Oryzias latipes: one gene and its partners. The protein of the gene in region 1 binds, or shares a complex with, the protein of each later gene. Links are inferred from orthologs where the notes say so. Each region holds a gene or a part of one and is shown in the gene's direction. Other genes may lie near its edges.

Region 1 (4,456 bases):
CACAGAGTGCAAAAGATCAATTAAAGTGAAGATTTCATACATTTGAAGTAATGAGAGATATTGAAATGAGAGATATTTTTGGTTTTCTCTCTGCTGTTTAATTAATTTAAAATGAATTTGTGCAACTTTTTCAATGAAGCAGGTTCTCTGTAATGATCGATTGAAACTGAACAGAAGGTTGCAAACATAGTTGAAAAACACATTCCTCTAGAAATTTGCTTTGTTACCCGCGGCCGTGGTGCAGCGGTAGGGCGGTCGACCCATGATCGTATGATTGCGGGTTCGATTCCCGCCTTGCACGGCCATGTGTCGAAGTGTCCTTGGGCAAGACACTGAACCCCGCCTGGGTTGGGAGGTGGGAGGTTCGCGCCAGTGTTCGGCAGCAGAGCCGCCATCAGTGTGTGAATGCGTGTGTGCATGGGTGAATGGGACTGAGACTGTAAAGCGCTTTGGGCCTTCGAAAGAGGGTAGAAACTGCTATATAATTATACGCCATTTACCATTTGTTTTTACTGCTAAATAATTAAAACCCCTTCTAGTGTTTTTTTTTTTAATTCTGACTAAAAAACCTTGAGCAGGACATTTTTCTTCTCTGTATATTTTGATAAATTTTGTCTTAAATTTCAATTATTTTAGAATGTTTTTAAAGAAATTTCAATTTATCTTTTTTTAATAGGGAAAATTTACCAATTTATGAAAAAGTCACAATAAGGAGGCTAATATGTTTACATTTTGAATCTTCTAAGAGTTAAATGTCCGTTTTTTTAACATGCAGGGGATGAAACGGAAAAATCTGTATCTCATCTGTATCTTTTAGGTGACTTGGTTTAATATCAGATGTTTGTGTGAAATCCTGAGTTAACCGGCACTCTTGATCCTTATGGAGCAGTTACTACCTGGTTGTCAGATTGCATGAACTGCAGTTGTGAAGGATCCTAGCAATGGTTTTTTTAACTCAATGTGTCACAACTGTTAGCATCAGTCCAAGTGTCAGAATCCCCCAAGGGAAAGAGGGAATTCTTGCTAACTTTATTCTAACATTGTAAATCTGTTTCTGGATGTGTTTTGCTCTGCTCCTCAGGGGCCATAGAGAAACAGAAGCTGGTTTATATTCTGAACAGAGACGCTGCAGCCAGACTCACCATCTCCTCTCCTCTGGAAGCTCATAAAGCCAACACTCTGGTCTACCATGTTGTTGGAGTCGACGTTGGCTTTGAAAATCCCATGTTTGCTTGCTTAGAAATGGATTATGAGGTGAGTAAGTGTAAAAATCAAATAGTTTTTTTCTTTCTTTTATATAACTAAGGCTTGGGCTGTTTTGAGTGTGATGAATTTTCCATGTCTCTTCTCTGACTGTTACTGGAGAAAGATTTGATTTCTGATCTCAGTTTGTCCAAAAGGTTGATCATAACAAACAGGTTTTAAAATGTAATAACGGGCTCTAAATAACCTTGCGTTCTTTGCAGGAGGCGGACAACGACCCAACAGGAGAAGCTGCTGCAAACACCCAGCAGACTCTCACCTTCTATGAGCTGGACCTCGGCCTTAACCACGTGGTGCGAAAATACAGCGAGGCTTTGGAGGAACACGGAAATTTCCTCATCACTGGTAATTATTCAAATCCATATGAAGTTTTTCATTAAGACGCAGTTTGTTTTTCGTTTATGAGTAAAGTTGAACCATTTTGAAAAAAAAAAAAAGTTCTGTCACAACGCTGATAGGTAAGGTGGTAAGAAAGACTGTTTCTGTTGAGCTTCTTTGGGAGATGCTGTCATCACATCCGAAACCGTAACTTCACCCTGGCAGCTCAGAGGTGAATTTTCTCTTGAAGTCCCAGTTCTCGTGGTAATCCATCATCTGCACTTGGTTTTGTGCGTGCTTGGCTGGTAAACCAGACTTGTCTTCCCATAAAATGTTGGCAAAAGAATAACATTTCTTGACTATATGAATCTTATCGGCACAAAAATAATCAGTCTTGGATCAATAATCCTTCCTGTTTCCTATCATGACTGAAGAAGAAACTTCTTCTCTGTAGTTCCGGGGGGTTCAGATGGACCTAGTGGAGTTCTGATCTGCTCTGAAAACTACATCACCTACAAGAACTTTGGAGACCAGCCAGACATCCGCTGTCCCATTCCCCGCCGCAGGGTGAGTCCAAGCAAAAAACCAACAACATTTTTCAAAGACAAAAAAAAGGACATATTTCAGTCTGAGAGCGACTTCACATAGCTACAAATAGAAGCAGATTTTTTTGTTTATGTGGAAACCTTTTGCAAGTCACTCACTCTATTTTCTATCTGCCATTTCAGTTCAGCCTGCATGTTTATTTTCATTTTGCTGTCTGTCGTCCCTCATGCTCTCTTCTGTCCGTCCCACAGAACGACCTGGATGACCCAGAGCGCGGCATGATCTTTGTGTGCTCAGCCACCCACAAGACCAAGTCTATGTTCTTTTTCCTGGCTCAGACGGAGCAGGGAGACATCTTCAAGGTCACACTGGAAACGGACGAAGAAATGGTGCGTGCATGCAGAAACTAGCTGATTGGCTGTTAAATGTAGCCTGATCTTTATTAAAATTGGGAAAAGAAAAATGTTGCAGACATAAGGGCTGATATTCTTTTAATTTTTTAGAGGGTGGCAAACAATATCAACCACCAGTTTTGTAAAATGTATCGCCTGACTTTTGTGAAGGCGTGTTTTTCAGATGCGTTTATTGATGAGAGTGAAGTTCTTCATGAGGGCACATAGGCACGGCATCACTCTGAAGTCGTTTTTCTTATTAGTTCGTGATCTATGGAGAACATGCAGGAAGGACAGGCTGCATCTCTGAATGATGAAAATGTCCTATACAGTGGTTCATAACTACAAAGTGGTTCATTTTTCATGGCCTTGCAGTTTTGCAACTTTTATTTTTACAGCCCATGGTGTTCTGCATCCTGATTGGCTGTAGACAGTTATCAATCAAGTGTTTTCTGTACAGAATACATTCAGTTTTTCAAAGTACATAAACCCTCAGTTGCGCTTAAATCTTTGTTTTTAATCTATAATACTGGACTTATTTTTCTTTTCTGTCTGTAAAAAGTGGATAAAGTGTGTATTGAGGAGTTTTACAGCTTCAAAACTAAATTATTCTAGATTCTAAAAAAAACACCTTTTTGTGGATTTCAACTATTGCAAGTTATTTACTTTGAATATAACTCCTGCAGTAAACGAGGGAACACTATTAGTACGGTATATATAAGCTTTCTGCCTTTATTAAGTCCCAAAACGTTTTACAGTCCCAGTCCCATCATCCATGCACACACACATTCACACACTCCCATTCATCCATGCACACACACACATTCACACACTGATTGATGGCAGCTCTCCTGCCGTACAAGACCCTTGTAACCACCAATGTGGGGCTCACCGTCTTGCTCAAGGACAGTTCGACACATGGGCAGTCAATCAGCGGTTGATTGCTCTCGTCTGTACCACAGCCATCATGAAGGCAATTTAACAATGCAATGCAGTTTTAAAATTTTGTTTTAAGACGTTTGGCTTTTTTGTGTTATTTTCAGTAGCCAATGACTGTCATCAGTTCCCACTTACACGTCTGCTTTACAGAGGAAGCTTTCTAGTTTAGAACACAATCACACATGAGTGATGACTGTTGTTTCAGGTCACAGAAATCAGGCTAAAGTATTTCGACACGATTCCTGTAGCAACAGCCATGTGTGTCCTGAAGACTGGCTTCCTGTTTGTGGCATCAGAGTTTGGAAACCAGTAAGTTTCGCTCACCACTCTTCCTTTAGGCTGGTCTAGGTTAGCTTGTTCTGTGTACTGAGCGCTCGTCACTCTGCTGCCTTTTCCTGCAGTTACCTTTATCAGATCGCTCACTTGGGTGACGACGATGAAGAGCCCGAGTTTTCCTCTGCCATGCCGTTGGAGGAGGGAGACACTTTCTTCTTCCAGCCTCGGCCGCTCAAAAACCTGGTGCTGGTGGATGAACAAGAGAACATGTCACCCATCATGTCCTGTCAAGTGAGTTCTTGCACTTTCAAAGCTGATTTGGGGTAAATGGAGTTTAAAAGAGAACAATAGAAACTTTTCTTTTCTTTATGCTGCTCGTTAGATTGCTGATTTGGCAAATGAAGACACTCCTCAGCTGTATGTCGCCTGCGGACGAGGTCCCAAGTCAACTCTGAGAGTTCTTCGGCATGGACTGGAGGTATTTCTTTTTGTATATATAATATTTATGTAGAATTAGAAAATTCACACAGTCTTCCTGCTGATCAAGTGATGACATTGTCATGTCTCTTCTCTGAGTAAAATCTGAAGAGTCTGTCAATAATTCTGACACAGCAGAGGTTGAGTACATTTAATGACGGACGTGATTTTGCACCCCCCCCCCCACTAATTTACTGCTTGTAAATAAAATTCAGAAAGAAAAGTTTATGCCGTGAAATTCAGTA
Region 2 (4,277 bases), on another chromosome or scaffold:
TGCGTTCATCCGTTAGCTCTCGGTCTTTTAATGAGACCGGGAAACTGTACACGAGATGTTAAATCTTTTCATGCAAATCGACACTTCGCTGCGGGGAAATTCACACTTAAAAATCACAGTTTTTAGGCTCTTACCTGGAGCCGTGCGACGGTGAGACAGTAAGATGCCATTTTGTTCACTGACAAAGATGTGAGATCGCCGTGACGTCACTGATGTATAAAAGCTTCTTTCTTCTTCTTTGGTTTTTCGTCCAGTGTCGTATTTACTGCTGCCCTCTGGTGGAAAAGCCTGGAAATACAGCTGAATTTTATTTCCTTTCTAAAATGTACATGTTTACATGGAATAAAATATTAAAGAAATTGTGTCAATATGTGACAAAATGTGTCATCAGACTCATAAGAAAAATATTGGTCGTCACATCAGCAGATCTAAAAGAAATAACGCATTGCTTGAATTAAATTTTCCATACATACAGGATATTTGCATCATGTTTTCAATTCAATGGACTAAAAGTTTAGGTTTGTAAAATGGTTGTTAATCATTCATATGTGCTTGATTAAACAAAATAAATATAGAAATATGATGGAAATGTAACATTTTTATAAATTAATGAACAAAGTTAAATAAGCTAGATTTTCTGTTCATCAAAAAAGTTGCGCAATAGTTAGAAAAAATTTTATTTCTTCAGCAAGGGTATGCATTGCACACCAAAGTACATTTTTACTCAAGAAAATTTTAATTTGATGAACTGCAATTAAAGTTCTCAAACAGGTAATTTCCTCCTCAAGCTGACATGTTTATTTATAAAGTAACTCTCTCATAATTTTATATATTGTTCTGGTTTTCAGAAAACATTTTAAAAAATGAATTTAAAACAGAAAATTTCATAAAAAGGTTTTAAAAATTGGAAATGTAGCCTATTTTAAAAGCAAAAAGGGTATTTATTTAAATCTAGTATTTATAAAAAAAATGTAAATAAATATGTTGGTAACATTTTTTATTTTTACATTTTCAAAACTTAAATTAATTACTTTCATTATCTTAAATATTATAACTCGTGTTTATGTTTTATTTTGTAATTTAAAAAATAAAATAGTACATGCTTCTGTCCAGTAGGTGTCAGTATTGGCCATTTAGCTGCTTTTAGCTTCCACCGACACGCAAGAAGAAGAGTCAGCGGAGCGTTGGGTTGTCGTTAGCTAACATGGCTAAACATCACCCAGATCTGATCTTTTGTAGAAAACAAGCGGGAGTTGGTAAGTTTTTACGTAATTATTTGTTTAGTGTCTGAAACCTTAAAGTTCGTCGCAGGTAATTTGACACATTCGTGGTTTACTTTCAAAGGTTTAGCGCTTTGTTAGCATGTATGGCATGGGGTTTCAATGAGACTGTTAGCATGGTCGTGTTAGCCTAGTTTTGTGTTTGGAGTCGACATGTCTAAATACCTAGTTTTTTCTATTTAATTATTTAAAATATTAATCCCAAACTGTGTAAATTACCTTATTAACTGTATCTGTTTTCATCACCAGCTATCGGGAGACTTTGCGAAAAATGTAAGTTTTTTTAATTGTTTAATGCTATCAAACGTTCAAAGAAAGAGTGCATGTAGATATCATTTTATAGGTAATATTTATAAATAACAAAAAAAAAAAAAACATATTATAAAGTGATTCTTTGCGTGCGGCCATCCCTGATTTGTTCTTCTTTTTTTTTCTGCACGGGCCTTTAATGTTTAATGTGAGAATTATTTTCAGAATAAAAGCCCTCTCTAGTCTAGGAAAAAATACTACAATCCAAAACTTTTCCATTTCTAGAATTTAAAACAAGAAGCTTTCAATGTGAATGGAGTCTAAACTCATTTGTACTTAGTACTTTAAGTGGGAACATAAAGCAGAGTGAAGAAAAAGTCCATTGAATTCCACAGAGGTTTTTTTTCCGTTTGTTGGAAACAAAACCGATACAGTTAGGTTTGGAGGTGTGAGGGGCTGTAAAGGTAGCGTGAGTGCACACAAACAGATGGGTGATGGGAAGGGGGGACGGGCATGCTCCACGCTACCAATCTGCCCACAACTCATAGGTGTATTTCTAATAAACTCCTGCCGCTTTGGAGAAACGACACAGCTTTTGGAAACGTTATGAAAATATTTCAATAGAGGATCAGAGTGGGACTTTAAGCACGGTGGAAGTTTATTGTGGTTTGGGCCTGCTTTCTGACTGAAGCATTTGAATTCCTGCCTCGAAAATCAGTACACTTTTTCTAGATAGAAAATCTAGAATGAAGCAGTCTGTAAAACTAAATAGGAAAGGATGCCGTGGAACATATAGATATGACATTAAAGATGTCTTAAATTCCCAGTCTGGAAGTCTGGTCAATAAGATGAGATTCGAAAAACAGAAGTTTGATAAAGTCCTTCATACAGATGCATCAAAGTTATTATGTCAGTCAAATATTGCTTTAAAAAAAAAAAACATCAACCCAGAGTTCTGAACTATTGTAAACAAACTGTGTTGGCCAATTCTTATCTGTTTATCCTCTTCTCTCTATTGTATCTCCTTCCTGTCTGCATATAGAGCAACACAGATGTTCTTGATCAAAAAACACGAACGATCAGCTGTTTTCAAGTCTTGAGTTTAGTTTTAAATTTTAAAGCGCTTCGAGTTTTAAAAAAAAAAAAGTTTAATTTGATGTATCTGTAAAGCTCTTTGCTGTCATTTCATCAAAGAAACTAGCAGCAGAAACTCAGGAAGTGAGATGCAGCGTCTGACCGTCTTCTTTTACAAAAATAACTTGTTTTAAAGTCTGACTTTAACAATGTTTAAAAGACGGCAGAGACCAACCAGACTGTCCCTGATCTGCTCCTTTCAGGCGATGGGAAGTGCGTCATCTGTGATTCGTACGTGAGGCCGTGCACGCTGGTGCGCATTTGTGACGAGTGTAACTACGGGTCCTATCAGGGGCGCTGCGTGATCTGCGGAGGCCCCGGAGTGTCTGATGCGTACTACTGCAAAGAGTGCACCATTCAGGAGAAAGATGTGAGTCTCTGGGCTCCAGGATCGGCCCTTCGCTGAAATGAACCAATGTTTTTACCCTTAATCTTTTTTTTGTGCAGCGGGACGGATGTCCGAAAATCGTGAACCTGGGCAGCTCCAAAACAGACCTGTTCTACGAGAGGAAGAAGTATGGCTTCAAGAAGAGGTGAAGAAGAAACCCCCCCGGCGTCTGTTAGGCTTTCCTTCTCGTTTCCAAACTTCCAAGAAAACTGTTTTGGTTTGTGAATAAAACTCACTTTTGTACTCCAGTCTCTGTGGCCGTTTGACTGAATAATCCAGTTTTAAAGCGTTTTTTTCTTATCGTTTATACATGGAGGCTCTTTTCTCTCATTCAACCTTGTTCCTGTTAGGTTCCAAGGAAGATCCAGGTCGTATAAATGCAGCCTAAACTTTTCTAGATGGAAGAAAAGTTTCGACATTTTCCTAAAGATCTGAGGAGCTTCAGATCTGGAAGTTTTGGTTTGTCTTTTCTCGTCACATTAACCTGAAATGGAGACAACAGGGAAGAAAAAAACTAAACATTTGAGAGTTCAGTTAAAAAATTAGGGATTTGAGTCCAACAAAATCTACATTTTACTGATCAAAAGTGAGGAAATGATGTATTTAAAGACGTATAATTCTGACTTCTCCCGTCTGAAAACAGGACAGCCTGATTCCTGGTTCTTCAGGATACAAATGAATTTATTTAAATCAGAAAAGTAATTGTAGATGAACTGCTTAAAGATTACTTAAAAGTTCAACTATGGAAAACCTTTAACTTTTTATTTAGCTTTAATAAAAAGGGACAAATTTAAAACAGTGGTGGGAGTATTATGGTTTGTATTAAACCTCAGACAATAAAATGGTCTAGAGATTAATTTATGCAGAAAAACTGAGGGCCAAAACATAAAACCTTTGAATATCAGCATTTTATTCAGAAGTTTTTATTACACATTTATGTACACTCAGACCCAGAAAACAAAATGTTTCTGTACAAAAACTAGGAAGAGAACAAAACTGACCTGTTCCAGAGAAGCAGAACTAGTTATGAAAAGTTAGCTTATTGTTGGAAACGCCTCAAAGAAAAGACGAACGAAGTTTGCTGTGAAAGCATCGATCTTTGCTTTGGACAGAGTAAAGTGTAAAACAGAGTGGAGACACGGATGGAAGCACAGCCTCAGAAAACGCAGCTTTCTTTCCCTTCAGCCATCGCCGTCCTCAGCTGCTCCGGTCTAAACTGCTGAGTC
Region 3 (4,636 bases), on another chromosome or scaffold:
GTGGGGGATTAGAGCTAAGCATGGTGAATGTAAAGAGGAATATCGGAATGAAATCCATTTGAAAGTGTGATTTGATATGACATAAATATTTACTGACACCAAACAAACATTGAAAATTGGGTAAAATATTAATTAAACTTTTTAAGTCTTTTTTTGTTCTAAATATTTACTTTCATCAAAACTTTTTAGGTTTTGCACTTTTTTATAACCTATTGTAAGAGTTTCCTCTTCACCCTTACTGTCAGTTTTATAAATGTTAATTAATGTTTCACACAAAGAGCAGTGAAATGTTTTGCTAGTATTTATGTGTTGTAACATTTTTTTTATTAAAAGTAATGAATCTTTTATCACTTTTTTTTAAAAAATATTACTTTATGATGATTCTGCATTTCCAAGACCAGCGGTGACCCTGTGTGTAGTTCCCTCTTATTTGGTGGATTTAAATCTAGAAGAAGAGGTTATTTTAACAAACTGGAGCCTCATTATTTTTAAAAACATTTGTAATGGCTGAAAGGCTAAAAATAATTTCTCTGATGATAAAAAGTCTTGCTTTTTTGCTATGAGGCAGCCCCATACCATCATACTGCCTCTGCCCAAAGATGTTACCCTGCAGCATTCTGAACGTAGACTTTATTTTGATTCCAGGTTCCAGGGCACTTCACTGCTGAAAGCGTTTAGAGAAGTGTGAGCACTTTTCAGGGGTTGTTCTGCAAACCTTAGGATTTGTAGTAGTTGTCATTCTGGGGTTCATCTCCATCTTTGACTCCTTTCTGTGTGAAACTTGGCTTTCGGTTTGTGGATGAGCTAGAGCTCACCTCAAAAGAAGAGCAACACAAACCGACCACTGCAGCAGATGTATCAATCAAACAAGAGCCAACAACAAAATAAGAGATAACTCAAGACTTTTGGCTTTTTCTCTGAGAGTCTATCCTCAATTCTGCTGCTCAATCCAAAGGTGATTTTTTATTTGGGTAGATGTAAAAAGACACAATGCACTAAAATCAAATGTTCTTCTTTTTGTGTGACAGTTCAGATTTTTGCAATGTAGAATCAAACGTTGTTTATCTAATCAACTGGTTTATTTTCAAGCAATGAAAACGAATAGGCAAACAAAAAAAATAAAGACAAAAAGAATAGATGTATTTCTATACATATGTCAAACATATTTAGGATAAAAAATATGAATTGACTGGATTTTGCAGACGTAAAGATTTTTGATTGGATATTTGTTAAACACTGTTGGTGTTTTTTTAAAGGACAGAGTTAAAATGTGTTCATGAGGATTTAAAAGTCCTTAGTATTCTAACAGCCTCAGAACCGGAAGTGTCTGTGAGCTGTCAAGACAAATTCCATTCAGGCTTTTATTTTGAAGTGCAGTCGCCTCATCCATCACTTCCGTATCTCCTCCTTTGCTGCATGAGTGTTTCTGGCTGCAGGTTTCAGATAAATCATCATGTCTATAGAGGTGGAATCTGCAGAGTGAGTATTTTGTTTAAAATTTCCTAATGTGTTAATTATTATTGGCATAATTTAGCGGCTCATAATTCTATATGTCCTAGCAGTATCGTAGCTGAGGCCTGTTTCATCCTGACTAAAGTGAACTGTCGTTAGCCTCGTGAAGTACCGTAAATGTGGACCATTTAAACTATTTTTTTTGTTCTCTAAATGCACCAGTAAGGCACAGACTGTGCTTATATGTGCGTTACTTATCATTGCTACTTTTGGGCAGCAGGAACTACAACTTGACGATTAAATAAAAGTACTTTTGACGTAAGCTAACGATGCTAATGCTAACTTTGATGCTAATGCGAGGGTCGGCACAACACGGACGAGGATGAAGATGACGTTTAATTTAGGCTCTATTCAGCACAAATGTTTGTATAATTTGATTTTTATAATTTTCTTTTATAATTAAAATGATAAAAAACGTCTTCTGTTAACTAAAACTATTCAGACTATGGACGGTCCGGCTAATTATTAGTCCTAGTTTCGTTCATTAGGGAGTTTAAGATGGAACTTTTTCCTTTATTTGAATATCAATATTATTTATTTCACTGACAAGTGACATGAACTTTTATTCTTTATTTTTTATACAGTAGTTATAAATGTTCAAAATCAAAAGTTACCAAAGTTTTATTTGTGTATTTGTCTGAGAGTTTCATTCATTAATAGATTTCTTCTTTCTGCTGCATTTATAGTAAAATTGTCTAAATATTTTGTGTTATTGTCATACGACAACTAAGTTTTAGAGCCACCATAAAAAATAAACAAATGTTTAACAATAAACTCCAACTTTCCTAAAAATAAATTATAAGAAAGAAGTTGCGTAAAACTATTCAATAAAGTCCTAAATTTACACTAATTGTGTAGCGTAAAATTGATAGAAAGTTTAAATGAAACAAGATAGAAGTGTAAAATGATCAGGAAAAAGTTCAAATTTTATTACTGGTTGAATAATGTCGTAGAACATGTGAGAAATTTACCAAATTCTTTGAGAATAGTTGTTAAATTGTGAGAAAATGTCAACATTTTAAAAGAACAAAGTAGTTAAATTGTGAAAAATCACACCGCTGAATAATTTAAATGAATCTGCTTTTTTTTTTATTGATTTACACCTTTTCTTTACATGAAATTACAACTTTTTTTATGACTGACTTTGACCTTGTCAACGTAGAGCTGGTTAAATCATAGACTTACAATTTTGTTCTCATAAAGTTTTGACCTTTTTCCCCCCATATTTCTGACCATTGTTATTTTTTTTCTTACTGTTGTTTATTTTTTTATTTTTAAGTGTTTTATGTGGCACTGCAGCAAAATCCTAGTCTGTGAAACTGCTTTGTTCAATTGTTGACAATGGCAATAAAAACTCCTTGAATTCTTGTAAATTTTTTTATAACTTTATCCTCATAAGTTTAGTTTTTTTATGATGGTCTGTCATAGACAACAAATCATAGCTCCAATAGTGACGTTTTTGTAAAAACTGCTCAAATACAAAGATATATTTTGCTGCTGTAAAAGCTGCTCCTCATGGAGTTTTAGGCAGTAAAAGTTTGATCCCTAGACGATTGCGTCATTGAACAAGCAAGTTCCTGAAGGCAGCAACTGCTTTTTTGTTTCTGGATGTTTCGAGGGGACTGAACAGCCATTTGTCTTTTCCCCAGCGTGATCCGTCTGATCATGCAGTACTTGAAGGAGAACAATCTGCACCGGACCCTCGCCTCCCTGCAGGAGGAGACCACGGTGTCTCTGAACACGGTGGACAGCATCGAGAGTTTTGTAGCGGACATCAACAGCGGACACTGGGATACCGTCCTGCAGGCCATCCAGTCCCTCAAGCTGCCAGATAAAACCCTGATCGACCTCTATGAGCAGGTGAGCTTGGTGTTTGTGGAGTTCTTTGTCCTGTTCGATATCATCCTGCTTTCTAAAGGAGCACTAAGATGGAACCAAACATCCACTTCATGAAACCAGGTCTGTTCGGACTCACCTGGTCTCCTCTCACGTCTCCTCTTGCTCCTTCCTCAGGTCGTGTTGGAGCTGATAGAGCTGAGAGAGCTCGGCGCGGCGCGTTCCCTCCTCAGACAGACGGACCCCATGATCATGCTGAAGCAGACCCAACCGGAGAGATACATCCACCTGGAGAACCTGCTGGCCCGCTCCTACTTTGATCCCCGAGAGGTGAGGCTGCGAGATTCAAAGAACGCGAGCGCGTTCGTGTTTGTCCGTAACCGGGGACTGATTGGACCGTGCGCTCTATCCAGGCGTATCCTGACGGCAGCAGTAAGGAGAAGCGCCGGGCGGCCATTGCTCAGGCGTTGGCCGGAGAAGTGAGCGTGGTGCCTCCATCCCGTCTCATGGCTCTGCTGGGACAGGTGAGGAACCTGAAAAGCAACTGTTTTCGCCCACTTCCTGACAAGACTTCAACTGTTTACACACGACAAAAATACCCCAGGAAACCGGAGGTTCCTTTGGTGCTGCAATATTTGAAGGACTCTTGAAATTTGTCAAATCGTGTGCTAAATGACAAACCTATAGGCGTTTTCTCTTCTCTAGTTTTGTTTTATTTAAATCTATTGGATTAGAAAAACTTTCTAAATCTCTTTGGACAAAGTAACTGCTCCCCGACACACAATTTAGTGCTTTTGAATCACTTTTCTGCTTTTAGTCGAGATCTTTCTAACAAATCCTGCAGATATAAATTAGCCCCACACCATCACACTGCCACCACCGTGTCTGACTGATGCTTTGAAGTGTTTTTTTGGGGTATAGCCCATCATTCACACCTATTGGGTTTGTTTTTTGTGTCCTCAGTTTTGGTGTTCTGGTGTCTCCTTTATTTTCCATGTACTTCTGTCCCGCAGCCGTCCTGGACTGAAGGACCTCACTGTTGTCCTAATTCCCGTTTCTTTGAGCAAATATATTGCCCCATCGGTTGTCCAAATTCCTTCACTACTCACTACATAGTGCGTTCACCATTTTCTAGTGCTGTCTGAATCTACAATTCCAAAATCCAGTGGCCTAGAAATTTTCCAGACGTCTCGATGCAGACTAGATCGGTGAATATAGACCACGATGCATTGCATTTGAAAATTTGTTTTAAAAAAAAGGAATTTAAATGTATTTTTTAATAAACCAT

The links. The genes of interacting proteins can lie anywhere in the genome.
Region 2: the proteins of sf3b3 (region 1) and phf5a are in contact, whole or in part, in a crystal structure (PDB 7B91), measured with the Homo sapiens proteins. The link is inferred for Oryzias latipes from reciprocal best matches to the Homo sapiens genes SF3B3 and PHF5A. Residues at the interface, in NP_036558.3 of Homo sapiens: Gly85, Arg86, Gln104, Glu105, Thr106, Phe107, Gly108, Lys109, Ser110, Leu140, Ile154, Ser155, Ser156, Pro157, Glu159, Ser1162; in NP_116147.1 of Homo sapiens: Gln14, Ala15, Gly16, Val17, Arg44, Asp47, Glu79, Asp81, Arg82, Asp83.
Region 3: sf3b3 (region 1) and WD40 repeat-containing protein SMU1 share a complex: the UniProt entries of both Homo sapiens proteins name them as parts of the spliceosome B complex. The link is inferred for Oryzias latipes from reciprocal best matches to the Homo sapiens genes SF3B3 and SMU1.

What each region holds. Positions count from the first base shown.
Region 1 is NC_019864.2:25,099,823-25,104,278, forward strand, and holds part of sf3b3 (splicing factor 3B subunit 3), read left to right. Parts: intron 1-1,081; coding exon 1,082-1,254; intron 1,255-1,466; coding exon 1,467-1,608; intron 1,609-2,035; coding exon 2,036-2,148; intron 2,149-2,378; coding exon 2,379-2,516; intron 2,517-3,663; coding exon 3,664-3,767; intron 3,768-3,859; coding exon 3,860-4,025; intron 4,026-4,116; coding exon 4,117-4,212; intron 4,213-4,456. UniProt on the Homo sapiens protein: Component of the 17S U2 SnRNP complex of the spliceosome, a large ribonucleoprotein complex that removes introns from transcribed pre-mRNAs.
Region 2 is NC_019877.2:2,093,722-2,097,998, reverse strand, and holds phf5a (PHD finger-like domain-containing protein 5A), read left to right. Parts: upstream 1-1,132; 5' UTR 1,133-1,204; coding exon 1,205-1,256; intron 1,257-1,529; coding exon 1,530-1,553; intron 1,554-2,866; coding exon 2,867-3,033; intron 3,034-3,110; coding exon 3,111-3,200; 3' UTR 3,201-3,299; downstream 3,300-4,277. Other genes in the region: aco2 (aconitate hydratase, mitochondrial), read right to left, coding at 135-170.
Region 3 is NC_019868.2:28,087,857-28,092,492, forward strand, and holds the start of WD40 repeat-containing protein SMU1, read left to right. Parts: upstream 1-1,358; 5' UTR 1,359-1,453; coding exon 1,454-1,479; intron 1,480-3,161; coding exon 3,162-3,372; intron 3,373-3,525; coding exon 3,526-3,678; intron 3,679-3,761; coding exon 3,762-3,872; intron 3,873-4,636. UniProt on the Homo sapiens protein: Involved in pre-mRNA splicing as a component of the spliceosome. Regulates alternative splicing of the HSPG2 pre-mRNA. Required for normal accumulation of IK.